2 linked regions of the Caenorhabditis elegans genome follow. The protein of the gene in region 1 purifies or fractionates together with the protein of each later gene. This does not show direct contact. Each region holds a gene or a part of one and is shown in the gene's direction. Other genes may lie near its edges.

Region 1 (6,264 bases):
TGGGATAGAAGCGGAGGAGATTGGCTGCAGATCATTTTTGAATGAAATGAATAAAATTTGGGGAATCTGGAGAAAAGTTGAACTGTTAAAAAGATAAATGTGAACAAAATAAAATCCAATAGATAAAAATAGAAAGAGATCTCACCACAGGAAGACAGCCAATCAACTCTTTTTTTTTTGTTGATTCACAGTGAAAAGGAGAATTTTTGGAATCGATAATATATGGTAACGAGAGATGGAGAAAGAATAATAGTTTGTCAGCTTTTCTATAGATGGGAATATTTTCAACTTGACTGAACAATCCGGAATACAAAAAAAACAAGGAAACGAAACGGGAAAAATGTGGTGAAATTTTGAATAACTTAGTAATAAATGGTAATAAAAACAATTAGAAAGAGAATACTCGGAGACTCTTATCCAATGAACACGTCACCAATGAACGAGCATTTTCTCCGAATCTAACTCCAGTGACTGGTCCAGAATGATCAGAAAGTGATACAACTTCACTCCAGCTCTTCACATGCAAAACTTGAACTTTTTGGCCACCAATTCCTAGGAATGTTCCAGTCATGTCGAAGGACAGGGAGTTGATCTGAAAAAATTATATTTTTTCATTAAACATTTGCTTAACAATTTCTTACCGGTTGTTTCTCTTCGTTAGCGAAAGTTTTCAGATTCTTCAATTTTCTAAGATCCCATAATTTGACCTCTCCATCCTCTGATCCCGTAGCCAAATAATATCCGTTTTCAGAAAACGCAATCGAACGAACGGCAGCAGTATGTCCCGGGAATGCAGCAGCCACGGTTTGATTCTTCAAATCCCAAATCTTCACAACGGCATCCGCAGCTCCAGTTCCAAAAATAAGACCATCAGGATGGAACTCGATGGAATGAACGGCAATTTGTGATCCTGGTTCAACTGAAACCTTGCAAAGCGATTTTCCGGAACGAATGTCGGAGAATGCCCAGTAAGAATCATCAGAAGCGGAGAGAATGTAATCACCGGATGCATTGAGGGAGATATCTGTAAAACATTGTTTGTTCAATAGAAGAATTACAGCTAGCGAATTTTTTTCAAATATCTCACCTGTAACGGGTGCCTGATGGACATCAATAATAGCCTTCGAAGACGAATCAGTTGCACTCCAGACTCTAATATGTGAATCAGCAGAAGCAGAGATTGCAGTAATATTATCCGGATGCAAAACAACTGCGTTGATCTTCTTGTTATGCCCCTTGAATGTTTGCATAACCTGTTCCTTTTCATAGTCATACAAGACAACGGTTTTATCAATTCCTCCGGTAAGTGACAAATTTCCCTTGATATCCAATGCAGTAATTCCAGGAGTTCCAGTCGAATGAATTCCAGTGTGAGATGCTGTCTGTTTCAGCTCGGCGAGCTCTTCTGTTTTGGCAAGTCCTTCAGGAAGATTTTTTCCTCGTTGTTTACGTTCAGCAGTCAGACTCTTTGATTTCTCTTCAAGTTTTGCCAGAATTGCCTCACTAAGACCTTGTTGATCTTCAGACTCGTCAATGCTGACATCATCGTCAACTTTCGCCGATGTGTGTGGTTTCAAAGTAGACAATGCTTCTCTAGCAGCGGTCAATTCTTTGGAGAGGCGGGAAATAACACGACAAGCGGCATCGTGTTGGTACAGAGAGTGAGAAAGTTCTTGACGAGCAATTTGGAGTTGTTGTCGGAGAGAGAAGCTGTTGAGCATTACTGTATCCCACTCGTCTTGAAGCATTTTTAGTAGAGATGGGATGGATGTTCCAGAGACATTGCGTGGTGCTGATCCAGTGCCGCCACTTTTCAATGAAACGAGCTAAAAAATGAATTTTAGAAATTATTATTTTGTTTTTTCAATGAATTATCATTTCGAAGTTTCACGTCAGTGAAGATAATTGCAAGGTTGACAAACCTGGTCTTCAGAAAGCTCTCCATGGCTGATCGGATCTGTTCCGTTTTCGGCAATGAATTTAACGATCAGCCGACGATCAAAGATGTGCCCTGAGACTTGAGAGACGACTGGGTCTTCGGTCAGTTCACCACTGATTCCGCACACGAAAGACATCTCCTGAAAGTAGCAAAATATACACGAAACCGCTTGATTGACGTGGGACATAAACGAAGAAAGTTTCAATGCGAATTTTGTAGGATAATTACATTTATCGAACGAGTGGTCAATAAATACGTACTCTGGCTAGTGACTAATCGAACGGCGCATTGGATCAAATGTTTTAAACTTGTCTTTAAAAGAAAATCTAGAATTTTAACCAGTTTTTCATGAAAAAATGCAAGTTTTCAAGTCAAAGGAATTCGAGACACCACGGTTTCAAGATCTGATGGGATCCCGGATCTACGTTTTCCGGATCTACCATTTCCGGATCTACGTTTTCCGGATCTACGTTTTCCGGATCTGGCACCGTGCCAACGCACAAAACGCTTTTCAACGCACGACTTTTTTCGAAATTTTCTTCTAGAAGAAACGCTTAAGAACACGCGACGCGTAACATCGCAGCGTCGTTGTCACTTTTTTCTTCGAAAAAATAGCGTTTTAAGAGTTGGCACGGTGCCAGATCCGGAAAACGTAGATCCGGAAAACGTAGATCCGGATATGGTAGATCCGGAAAACGGAGAATCCCACCAGATCTTGAAACCGTGGTGTCTCAGGAATTCCATGCAATGAGAATTCGAAAAACTGCAGTGGAGCGTACTTGCTGCAGCTTTTCCGGGCGGGGCCGAAGAAATGTCGGCCATGAGACTGGGGAATAAAAACGATTTGAAAAAATAATTTGGATTTGAATTTTCTTCCCAAAAAATGCAAATCGGGGAATATGAGCTCACTTTCATCGATGTTGCGGTGTTTGTGGTGTTTCTCGTGGCTTTGAATAAAATTGTTAAAAGGATGCTTGTTGCAAAAATCAATGAGCCAGCGAAATATGAGGTAATTTGCAAATAAATCTTGGGATGTGAATTTTTGTTTCTCAGATCGAACAGCTCGAAGAGCGTGATATGACAATGGAAGAAATCGAAAGCATGCGCCGCGAGGAGAACAGGTGCCTGGTCATTGTGGAAGACAAAGTAATAAAATACTTTTCGGATTATCAAAAAAATAAGTTTATTTCAGATTTACGACCTCTCTGGCTCACAAGATCTCTATGACAACAACCGCGATCTTTTCGAGAGTAGTGAAGGATGTGGACCTGAATGGGCACCGATTTGTGCTAGGAAATATCCATTCGTCGGACACGTTTTGAAGAATTAATTAAAATCTCAGCGGGAGTTTGATCAAATTTCGGGTTGTTTAAGTTGTGTCAGTTACATCGTGTTTTTTTGTTGTTAAATAAAACGGTTATTTTTTTTCATACATTGCTTTTTACATCTCTTATTATTATAGGCTGAAACAACCTTCATTTTACTTTTGCCCGTTTTTTAGATGACTTTGATTCAAAAAACCACGTTTACAGATCAAGTATGGCTTTGATGTACCCATTCCACGTAGCACAACCTCCACTCAACTGGTCCGAGCACTTGTGGGTTTCCGAAGTCTCACCAGCAAAAGAGTCATTCATCACCACGATTTGTGAGCACCGTCAAGCTCAATGGGTACGTTTTTATTTCAAAATCACACTTTTCTGAAAAAGTACATTGTTGTTCATTCTAAATTTATTGCAGGATAATCAAGATCTTCTGCGTCACTTGCAAGACAGTGTGGCTATTCTGACTCGTGAAGATCAACGTCATGTGAACGCTGTCCATGCAGCAGCAAATATGCCTGCAAATCCTTGAATTCCCTATTCTACACCATATTTATCTGTAAATAAAACTCGATTTGGCATACCATTTTTTTTAATTATGGAATTCATTTCCGAGGTACTGACCTCGTTATTACCTAATTTAATATTTTGTTCTCAAATTATTCCAGATTTTATTCAATCGCTTCTTTTCAGTTTCATTGGGAAAGACGAACCGAATAATAGGTATTAATATTGTACTGTAATTATTAAAAAGAGTTGTGAGATGACCGATGAGCAAAGGTCTGGAAGTAGGCGGAGAGGAGGAGCCCTTGGAGGTGGAAGGGGAGGAAATAGCCAGAATAGTGGTGAGTTCATGACTAATCATTTTTAAAAATTCATACAATGAAGTATATTAGGCCCTTCGTATTGCTTAAAGATTGAGGTTTTACTGTTCTTAGTATTCAAAAATACCGTTGATTCACTCTCTACTATAACTTTTTCCTTATCAATCCTGAAGTTATTGAACAGTTTTAGCAGAAACGCCACTTTTATTTATTTATCAACTTTCTTATCAAACAAAGTGAAAACTTTATAGCAATTTTCGAACAGAGTGTTCTTCATTTTTTCTTAATTTTCATATTGAACTAACATTGAACTTACAGGCCGGAAAAGATCATCAAACAGTCCAGCTGATTCGGCTTCCTCCTCCCAAAAGACGAGCAGAAATCCATCGCAAAATCGTCCTCCAATGAACATCGTTCCTCAAAAAGTCACAATTCTGAAACGAAATCAGGATTCTCAGCCAACATCTCCAATAAATCGGAATGCGCCACCAGGACCCTTGGTTGCCGCTGTACAACCATTGATGGCTGTTGAATTGGGCGATTCGGGAGCTTCATTGAAAGGATGGAATTCAAATCCTACTACTCCAGAGAAAACAACGATTAATGTTGCTGGACGACAAGCAGAAGCCAACAAAAAACAGACGCAAGAGTATTATTTCTCCAAAAATGCCGGGTCAGCCGTGTCGGCTCAAACATTTCAAGAGACTGTCCAGTATCCAATGAGCTCATTTCCGTTGGAAAAGAATGTACCTATTCAAATTGATAACAATTTTACGGTTAGTTGTGAATAAAAAATTAAAATCATTCGCTGTATTCCAATAGAACAAAATTCGTACTTTAAACTTTAAAATAGCAAAAAAATGTATGAAATTAATTTTTAAAAGTCAAGTTTTTAGCTGTTGATTACTCCAACTACGAGCAAGTGCAATGGACTATTCATCAAAGTAAAATTACAACATGGAGATGACAATATCACAACTGGAGCTCTGTTGAAATTGGATGCAGATGAAAAGACGATCAGAAAATCTTGCAGGGAAACTATTGAGAATCTCTTGAAAGGTTTGAACTGAGTTTTCCGATTTCATTTCACTGTTTCTCAACAGTTTCAGCAAAGTCTTCATCCGACAGATTTCCATTCTCAAAGTGTTCTGAGGGATTTCTGACTTCTTGTTTGATCAAGAAACTTGTCGATCGTCTAGAAGCGTTCCCAGAGGCCATATACTATTGCGAAAAGTGCGATTATCATATTAATACAATCGGACACGCAAAAGCACACTTAGAGAGCAGTACACATTTTGATGATGTTAAGCGACAGGAACAACGGGAGCATCTTTTGAAAATTATTCCACCTCCGACTGAAGCACATTTAGAGAGTGTTGAAAAAGTTTTGGAAGGAACATTGAAATCGTATCAACAGGTTAGATTATCTTGAAACTGGATTGGAAAAAAACGAAATTAACGGAGGATAAATTGTGATTTTTCTCTAAAAAGCTGAAATTCAGAAATAAAATTTCGTTTTTTCTATCCGGTTTCGATCATTTTTCTCTCAACTAACCCTTCTCTCGTCAAGTATTTTCAGGTTCGTCAAAATGGAATCGAGATCGGTGAAACAATCATCTATTACTTGAGTACTACAGTATTCCCATCGATTGGATTGCAAGATGTGATACTTCGACCATTTGGATCTGTAACATATGACGTCACACTTCCGGATAGTGATTACAATGTGGCATATACTATGTCAATTCCTGAAGGAACTCCAATATTTGCATTACTTGAACAAGTTCGAAAGAAGATTGCCGATGATGGACATCCAGCTGATCATTCCATGGAAATGGGAACACCGTCAACAATTATATTTACATTCAAAGGAGTTCGAGTTAAACTTTGTTGGATGTCATGTTTCAATCATCGTATACAACTTCATTTTTCTGAATTGATGAAGACCTATGTAAATTTACGAGAGGAAGTTGCTCAATTTCTTCAACTTATTCGTCTTTGGGCAACGAAAGCTGGCCTTGACTCCAAAAATAAGCCTAGAATCGGACTTCCTCGATATGGATTTGATATAATGGCCATTCATTTTCTTCAGCAGATCGGATGCCTTCCAGTACTTCATGAACTTTTTGAAGCAGGTCCAGAAACTGAGAAAATTGAAGAAATGAGTGCTGAAAAGACA
Region 2 (8,552 bases), on another chromosome or scaffold:
ATAATTTTTTCAGCATTTTGATTGTATAATTTTTTTTATTCTCTGAAACGTTCCAAATACTACTTAGTGTTGCAGAGAGTTTATGGAAATTCATCAATTTTTGAAAATTGCAAAACACAGTTTAACAGAGCTATCTGCCATTGCACGAAAAATGTCTGTCGCCTCACTCTCCCTTGGTATATAAACAGCCTACAATCACCGAAGTATGTATCGGTCCGGCGTCAGTGGGTTATCAAGTTTGCCTCCCTTCGGGGAATTTCCCATCGGCATCAACTTGACAGTTACATTTTGAAAATTTGTATTGAGACAAAAAAGTTGGGCTGACACATTTTTGAACAACAATTGTGAAATGAATAGGAGTACTTCCGTATTATAATTTTACAATTTCTGAAGCGTTGGAAGTACTACGTACTGCAAGTTGCAGAACGCTTATCTAATATTATAGATTTTTGAAAATTGCGAAACACAGTTTAACAGAACTATCTGCCATTGCACGAAAAATGTCTGCCGCCTCACTCTCCCTTGGTATATAAACAGCCTACAATCACCGAAGTATGTATCGGTCCGGCGTCAGTGGGTTATCAAGTTTGCCTCCCTTCGGGAATTTCTCATCGGCACCAACTTGACCGTTGCTTTTGAAATTTTTCTGTAAAACACAATAGTGAATTACAAATAAATCGGACTCTACTCCAGCAGTTTGGTTTTATGGTTTAAAAAACCTGAAACGGAACAAAATGCTACTTGAAGTGATATATACTTTAGGTACAACTTCAAACTTTAACAAGTAATCACCGACTCGTTTGTTGGTGCAGCGTCTGTCAGTTATCATTCTTGACCGTTAATTTTAACATTTCCGGAAAAAATTATGGGATACATTAAAATAACATGATTTTTGTTCACTAGTTTTAAAATTGGAGATATATATTTAAAAATGCGAAATACATTATTTATAAACTAACAGTTCTTACTATAAAATAAAAAGACTCTATGCATCTTTTTCAGAACATTATTTGTTTACGATTACCCATGTATATTACTTTGGTGTTTTTGGGCTATTATTTTTATTATTTGTGCTCATCATTTATTTGTGCTCAGCATATCGGCATTAACTTGACCGTTATTTTTTCAAATTTCGCATTCAGATAAATATCAACCACATTCAGAGTATTGAACAATAACAATATTAATATTTTTACATAACATCACATTTTCTTTTACTGCTTGAAAATCCAAACGGCAGTTCATCTGAAAACAAAACAGTTTAGCCATTCGCATATTATTTTTGTCATAAATAAATTCAATTAGTTATTTAACTCAACTTTAAAAAAAGAAAATTAATTCTCCCTATCTCATATTGCGAAACACATCTCAAACGCCAAACACGCATAAATGTCCGCTGCATTAATTCCTCATAGTATGTAAGCTCCCCGCACTCTGAGCAGTTGTTCAAAAATATTATATATCGGTCCGGCGCCAATAGGTTATCATTCCTATTCCCACTTCAGGGAACTTCCCATTGGCACCAACTTGACTGATATTTTTGAAAACTTTGGAGCAAAATTGAGTTTAAAGAAACCAAAATAAAGTTTTTTAAAGTTAAGATTTGAAGCATACATTATAATAATAGGATATATTTGAAAATTATAATAATAAGAAGTTCAGAAAGACGTAAACGTTGTTTTCAAAAGTACCCATTTTCTGTTTCTAATTTTAAAAAAAGTGAAACAGAATCCATATTAAGCATAAATTTTGCCGCAGATTTACAAAATTGGGTTGTTTCTCATATCGACGATATGATTAATATTGCTGGGTTAAGAAAGTTAAGTTTAAAGGTTTAAATTATCAGGCGAGATGTTTGAACAGAATATCCGAATTCTACAAAAGGATAAGCCCAATGCGGGGCTCGAACCCGCGACAACCAGATTAAGAGTCTGGTGCTCTACCGACTGAGCTAACCGGGCCGCGAAATTTGAAGATGATTGAAAAAAATAAATAGTGAAAAATGATATCGTTATCAAGAAAACGTAGCATGTGGCGTTTGACCTTCATCATTTGCAGACGCAGGTTTGCTGGTGTAATATCAATGGGAAAATGAAATAGTTTTCACCGATTAAAATTTTAACTGTAATAATAATTATTATTGGCTGATTTCATTAAAACATAGTTCAGAAATAAAAATTCATTTGTCTTTTTAAGATCAGCAACTTTATGATTCATATGATCGAGCGCAACTTGTTATAGACCTATGTATTCATTAATAGTTCCTCCTCTAGGTGCCAATGCTTATTAGGGGTCAAAACGTTGTGACAGTTGTTCAAACAGGAAACAGATCGGATAAAAGTTAGCCAGTGAGGGCCCACAGAACATTCAACTTTCAACTCTCACTACCATGAACACCTTCTTCGTTTTAACAATTGTTTTCTTTGTTTCAAGCGCTGAAATGTGCTCCGACTCGGCTTCAAAGTAAGTTACAGATTATTTATTCAGTTTGAAATTTGAAATTTCATTTTTTTTTCTTCCAGCTGCGCGAACTGGGTTGCCAATGGGTTTTGCACCTCTACATTCTACACTACCGCTCAGAAAACCCAATACTGCGCATCAACCTGCTCTTTGTGCTCTGATTCTTCAGATTCTAGCTCTTCATCGTCCACTGCTTCTACAAGTTCTTCTTCGTCCACAGCTGCAACGTCCAGTGATGATTCTTCTTCATCTTCTTCATCATCTTCCAGCTCCGCGTCTTCAACATCTTCTTCAGACACAACAACAGCTGACAGTTCTTCTACTACATCCTCTGATTCTTCAACAACCTCTTCCAATTCTTCATCATCCACTTCATCCTCAGATTCCACATCTGTCGTATCTTCTACATCTTCCTCAACCACTACCACATGTGTAGATTCTTTTTCCACGTAAGACTTGATTATTTGCCACTTGCAAAATAAAAACCTTCTAGATGTACTTCCTGGGCTGCTAATGGATTTTGCACTTCTTCCTTCTACACTACTGCTATCAAAACTCAGTACTGTGCAGCTACCTGCTCTCTGTGCTCTTCTTCCAGTGACTCTTCTTCGTCGAGCTCTACCGCTTCTACATCATCTAGTTGCACAGATTCAGCTTCATCGTAAGATCAATCAATTCTACTGACTAGCCTAAAACAAGTTGAACTTTCAGATGCTCATCTTGGGCGGCCAACGGCTTCTGCACTAACAGCTTCTACACAGATGCTCAACGTGAACTCTACTGTGCTAAAACTTGCGGATTATGCTAATTTCATCGTTCCTCTTTTATTGTAGTTTGTCTCTAGTAAACTGAATGCATATCAAAACCATGTCTTCATAATATCTGTTGTGTGTTGTTTGAGAACGGGCCATACCGATGAGAGAGTGCACAAAATAAGAGAGTTTTCTCTGCTACATGGTGTGTCCTCCCGCCCGCCCCTCCTCCACGAGAAACACGCCAGCAAACCAATAATGCGCCTGCAGCCACCGACCTGCACCGATCCCTCTTCATTTTTTTGAATTTTAGTCGTCTATTTTCTAGTATTACCTTTAAAAAACAAGGTTTTTATATATTTTTTTTCCAGAAATGCAGAAAGCGGCGCCGCGGCCCATCATCAAACGGAGTTATCTCAACTTGGATGCAATTTTCGGCCATGTCTTCTCAAATTTGACAGGAGAGCCAGTGACTCCAACAAAAGTAAGTTTTTTAGTTTAGAAAACCTTCAAAGTACTAAAAATTTACTTAAGATTGCAACGTTCTACCTTCTTCGCATTCTTTTTCAAACACACTTTGGATTCCGTCACAAACGTGCTTACTACAAACCATTTAGCCCCGCCGAAAAAGAACGGTAAGTAGTTTGGAAAAATTTTAAAAAAAGAAACCAAATTCATGTTTTAGAATCTTCCATTGGCTGTATGCATTGATGACGTCAGTCGTGGAGCTTTCTTATAAGGACTTCAGAATTGTCACTCGACTTGCATTTGATGACGGCCGTGAAGTTTGTAAAAACTTTTATGCAGCGTAAGTCAAACGATTTTCATTTTATACAATTAAAAAAACATTATAATTTATTGTAAACTATTATAAAAACTAGTCAAACAATTCGACAATAAATTAAATGCAATAATGTTTCTTAGCTCGATTTTCTGGAGCATTATAAGCATAATCAATAATACAAAACAATCCGCTGGCATCTCTCCATTCTTTCAGTATGGAGAAAATTGGCGCCGGAATGGCGGATGTTACTCTTAACGTTGAAGATGAGTTCTACACCAACAAGCACCCAAAGGATCCGAAATTGCCAGCAAATGACACTGTACATGAAGCTATGGACTTGGCGCGCGGAGACATTATCCAGTTTTCTTCCAATCACTCGTTTATGTACAGATGGATGAAACGAGTATGATTTTTCAATCGAAAAAATTTGTTTCAGTTTGATTATATTTCAGCTCCTGGCACAATACACCAAGTCAACTCCTTCAGAAGTGTTCCAGATAAATGCAGCCATGAAATCATGGGTTTTGTCTGCTGTTGAATCAAAGTAAGTGACGAAGCTTTGCTAAAAATACCGAAACTTTTGCAGATATCATCCCGAGTTCAAGGGAGAGTATCTTCCACACTTCATCGACTGTTCTGTCAGAGCAAGGGATTGGGTTGCTAAGAGCATTTACTTCATTCAGGTGAGATACTATTTGAAACTAAAACTCCCATGCGGTCGCCGAGCCAGCCTCACGTCGTCACCCTCGCCGCATGTACAGTGAAGCGCAGACCTCCGAACGTGTCGGCCGCTTCCAGCCCACCACCTTTTCACACTACGTTGCGCACACACCATGCTACTCATTTCACGCTGAGCTGCGGAACCCCGAACGTGTCGGCCGCTTTGAATGACTACCTCTCGAACTTCATTTCACACACACAGCGGCGCGCGGCGACGGCGTGAGGCCCGGATTTTGCGCCTCACTCAGCTGGGAGCTCTGTTTGAAACTGACAAAAGAAAAGTAATAATGTTTCCATGTTTTTACAGAAGAACCCACGTTTTGCCTTCCAATATAACGAGATGCTTCACTACACCCGGATCGTACAGAAGCGACACCCGGACGTTGTTGAAGGGTTCCTGCTAGAGGCCATTGTGCAAGTTCAATTGAAAGATAGCTCGTCGGCTATTAAGGCAATGAAATCGTTTTTCGAGTTGTCCATGTTTGAGTAAGTGTTATACCGTTATACCGCCACCGAGGTTTAAGAACAAAAAAAATAATTTTCAGACTAAATGAGAACATGGTGCATGCCGCAAAAACGCATCGATTGGCAGTTCCAACTCAAACCCCGTTGATGTATGCACCGATTCTTCAAGCCAGAATTTGCAGAATATTTGGAGACTAGTAAGATATATCAATAAAGAGTACATAAATATTCTCATTTTCCAGCCAAATGGCTCGTCTCCTGCTCCACGAGAGTCTCCAACAAGCCCAGCTCCGAAATGATGAGATTTGCCATCAAATGGCCAACATCGAAATGCACACTGTCGACATATTGGGATGCAGGGCGCTGCTTGAGGATAACAATGAAAGTGAGCTCGTCTATTATTTTTTGAATCAATAAGAACTAAGACAACAACAAATCAAATTTGCAGAAACCGCTAAGCACATTGAAAATGAACGGCGAGTTCAGAGAAAAGCCTTGCTGCACATAGACGAGTAAGTTGGATTATCTACTAGTATAGAGTCATAAAACTAATTAGTACATTTCAGTCTTCACGGACATACGCGATCCGGGCCTTGCTGTCTAAGTTCTGAAGAAGATTTTGAGCTTGTCGCAGAGATGGACTCATATGGAAAAATGCTCATGTTGATGAAGATCATTGCAGAAGGAAACTATAAGCTGTGAGCATTCAATCAGAGACGTCGCTTTAACTTTCCAAATTTACAGGATCTACGACAGAGTTGCGGAAACCGGAATAACGTGTCCAGTCGGTAATGATCTTGGAGAACGAGGACGAAAAGTGGCTGCTTATGGAGCTGCTCTGATATCTAGTAACATGTAAGTAGCTCGTTGCAAATGGCCTAGAAACCATTCTGAATTTCAGGATTCATAATGGAATGTATCATCAAGCAAAGTGCGCCGCAGAAAACATGCTGGCAAACAATTGCAGAACCGATGAAACAGACCCCTTCCAGGCTCCTTTTCAGGCCGAACCTTGGGTAAGTACAAGTTAGAACTGTGACAAATAATAAATTGGTGCAAAATTTATATGTATCTAATGAAATTCAAGTATGATGTATCAATTTTCAGGCAATTGGTGCGGTAAACCTATCTTATTCACAAGCTGGAGTCGGAAACTACGACGCGGCACTAAGAACTATTGAGGAAATGCGACAAAATTATCCGGAAGAACTTTCTTGGCAGTCCAACCGTCACGTTGTCATTTGTGCAGCTGTCATCAACTTTGAAAGATTCTTATTGAAAAATGACTACAAGGCTTGTGCTTCTGAAGTTTTGAATCTCGCAGCACACTCTGAACTAGAATGCAAGCTTCGGTGAGTTGCAATTGAAAGTATTACCTCATTTAATTTCTATAATTTTTTTAGACAAGCTCTTCTCCTCGCCGCAGCCGGAAAAGAACGGGCAAGTGTTGAAGTGTTGGAGGGATTGAACGTTGTGGACATTCGTGGAAGAATTCGAATTCACATGCAAACAGGATGCATTTACACGGCTAGTCAAGAATTTAGAAAAGCTGCAAGAGAATTTGCAGACGCCTTGAGTCTTGCTGAGAACACCACACTGAAGGACATTGTGCCAATGGTCAAGAGAAGACAAGCAACTATGCTGGTAAGCATTTTATGTAAAGAAAAAATTGCATGAATTTTTTTACGCCATCTTGATATTTCACTGAAGAATCTACAAAGTGGAGCACTGTCGTTAGGGTTTTGAATCCGTAAATTTTGCGCTGCACTCCGAAAATTATTTTTTATTCAGCCTTAAAAATTGTTTGAAGTGAGATGTTTGAAAACATAAGGTATTGTATTTTTTATAGATGTCACCAGATATGTCAGACTATACTCGCTTACTAGTTAGATAAAATAAACGTTTTCTGAGAACATCGCATTTATCAAATGAAAAACAATTTTTAGAATCTAAATTTACAGATGTGCCATGGTCAGTATGTCGAATGTCTGAAACTTTTGAAAGAATGCAATGAAGGCATTGAACAGTTTGGATCATTTACCGAGAAGGCGTGCTACTACATGACAGCGGCCAGATGTCATCGATTGCTAGGGAAAGATCCGCGGATGTGGTTGAAAAAATCCCGTGCCCTGGTCCGCAACGGGCAATGGCCGGCGTTTACCAAGCTCGTCCTCTCCGAAATTGCTGCTCTTCATGACGTCAAAGGACTGATGCCTGATGAAAATCGTCTGTCGCAGATTTGTGAGCAATTTGGTAAACTGACTGCTGATTGTCCCGGCCGATGCGAATGGCTCCTCATCTGATGATGTTTCAAACCAATATTCTTGTACACACTTTTAAAGTGCTTCATTATCCAATCCCAAAGACCCCCGTCTGTTCTTACATTCAACGATCTTGTTTCAAAACTCAAACAGGTTTATGAGCTTCACAGTGTATTTTTACGAGTCTTTCTTGCTCTATTTGATTTTGAATTTATGAACTTTTTGTAAAAAAATTGCTTTTGAAAAATTGGAAAAAAAATTGAAAAGGAATGTTTTATTGCAATTTTTTTGATTTTATTTTATTGCAGATACCATTTGTGCAGTTTGAATGCTTCTTACCAAATGTCAGAAAACATATTTCTGGTAGCTAAAATACATTTACAACTGTAGCAAAAACGTGTTGTGCAAGTTTTTTAATAGCAATGAGATGTCTATTTTTTTTTAAATTAAATTGAATCATTATCGAAAGTGATTAATTATAGGAAATTACGAAGAATAGAAAGGATTACTTTGTTATTGGATGTTTTACATGTTCTCATGTAAATTTATTGCTAGCCAAACTTATTTGTTGTTTTAAAGCGTGACCTCATTGAATCAAACGTTTTTTTAAAGATTAGTAAAAAAATTAAAAATTAACCGGCTACTGAAAACCCCACCCCCGCAAAATTCCTATTTTGGGTGAAAATTCCGTATTTGCAGTGAAACAATGCCAACTGAAAGCATCACTCCAGTTACTCATGACAACTCAAATAGGATATGTGTACATAATGATTAATTTTGCTAACTTTCCATATCCGTTATAACAAATGCAAACATCGTTTTTGAAAATGGATACTGTTAGGATCAAACACCTGATGATCCCACCGATTTGGCACTTTAATGGATCAACTAACTTTTTGGAAAAGCTGAACAAACGTAAAACAGTTTTATAAAAGGCATTCTATCAGAACGCATTGTCAGAACACATTCAGTTTTTGAATTAAATCAAAAATGTCATCTACTTCTTTGTGCGTCTTGGCTGTTCTTATCATCTTCTCTACCGTAGAAATGTGCATGGATGTTAACCCAAAGTAAGTAAAAATTCAGCATTTGCAATTTTTTATCACTGCT

Evidence for each region. Proteins that work in one complex are often made in the same cells at the same time.
Region 2: the proteins of emb-1 (region 1) and gfi-3 purify together in Caenorhabditis elegans (affinity purification with mass spectrometry, with the first as the bait; one study listed by BioGRID). This does not show direct contact.

Annotation. Positions count from the first base shown.
Region 1 is NC_003281.10:5,169,968-5,176,231, forward strand, and holds emb-1 (Anaphase-promoting complex subunit emb-1), read left to right. Parts: upstream 1-3,471; 5' UTR 3,472-3,478; coding exon 3,479-3,610; intron 3,611-3,679; coding exon 3,680-3,793; 3' UTR 3,794-3,842; downstream 3,843-6,264. Other genes in the region: prp-19 (Pre-mRNA-processing factor 19), read right to left, coding at 389-592, 642-1,024, 1,088-1,826, 1,923-2,075; K10D2.5 (uncharacterized protein), read left to right, coding at 2,823-2,948, 2,993-3,085, 3,132-3,269; cid-1 (4Fe-4S ferredoxin-type domain-containing protein), read left to right, coding at 4,025-4,106, 4,404-4,861, 4,982-5,144, 5,195-5,502, 5,665-6,264. UniProt on the Caenorhabditis elegans protein: Probable component of the anaphase promoting complex/cyclosome (APC/C), a cell cycle-regulated E3 ubiquitin ligase that controls progression through mitosis and the G1 phase of the cell cycle.
Region 2 is NC_003284.9:14,476,989-14,485,540, forward strand, and holds gfi-3 (Protein gfi-3), read left to right. Parts: upstream 1-3,583; 5' UTR 3,584-3,585; coding exon 3,586-3,696; intron 3,697-3,746; coding exon 3,747-3,847; intron 3,848-3,897; coding exon 3,898-4,020; intron 4,021-4,209; coding exon 4,210-4,399; intron 4,400-4,448; coding exon 4,449-4,540; intron 4,541-4,582; coding exon 4,583-4,679; intron 4,680-5,023; coding exon 5,024-5,202; intron 5,203-5,261; coding exon 5,262-5,378; intron 5,379-5,423; coding exon 5,424-5,566; intron 5,567-5,629; coding exon 5,630-5,693; intron 5,694-5,747; coding exon 5,748-5,879; intron 5,880-5,925; coding exon 5,926-6,036; intron 6,037-6,082; coding exon 6,083-6,197; intron 6,198-6,288; coding exon 6,289-6,533; intron 6,534-6,584; coding exon 6,585-6,825; intron 6,826-7,142; coding exon 7,143-7,484; 3' UTR 7,485-7,714; downstream 7,715-8,552. Other genes in the region: M163.11 (ShKT domain-containing protein), read left to right, coding at 2,390-2,463, 2,523-2,909, 2,954-3,121, 3,172-3,268; M163.8 (ShKT domain-containing protein), read left to right, coding at 8,433-8,512. UniProt on the Caenorhabditis elegans protein: Probable component of the anaphase promoting complex/cyclosome (APC/C), a cell cycle-regulated E3 ubiquitin ligase that controls progression through mitosis and the G1 phase of the cell cycle.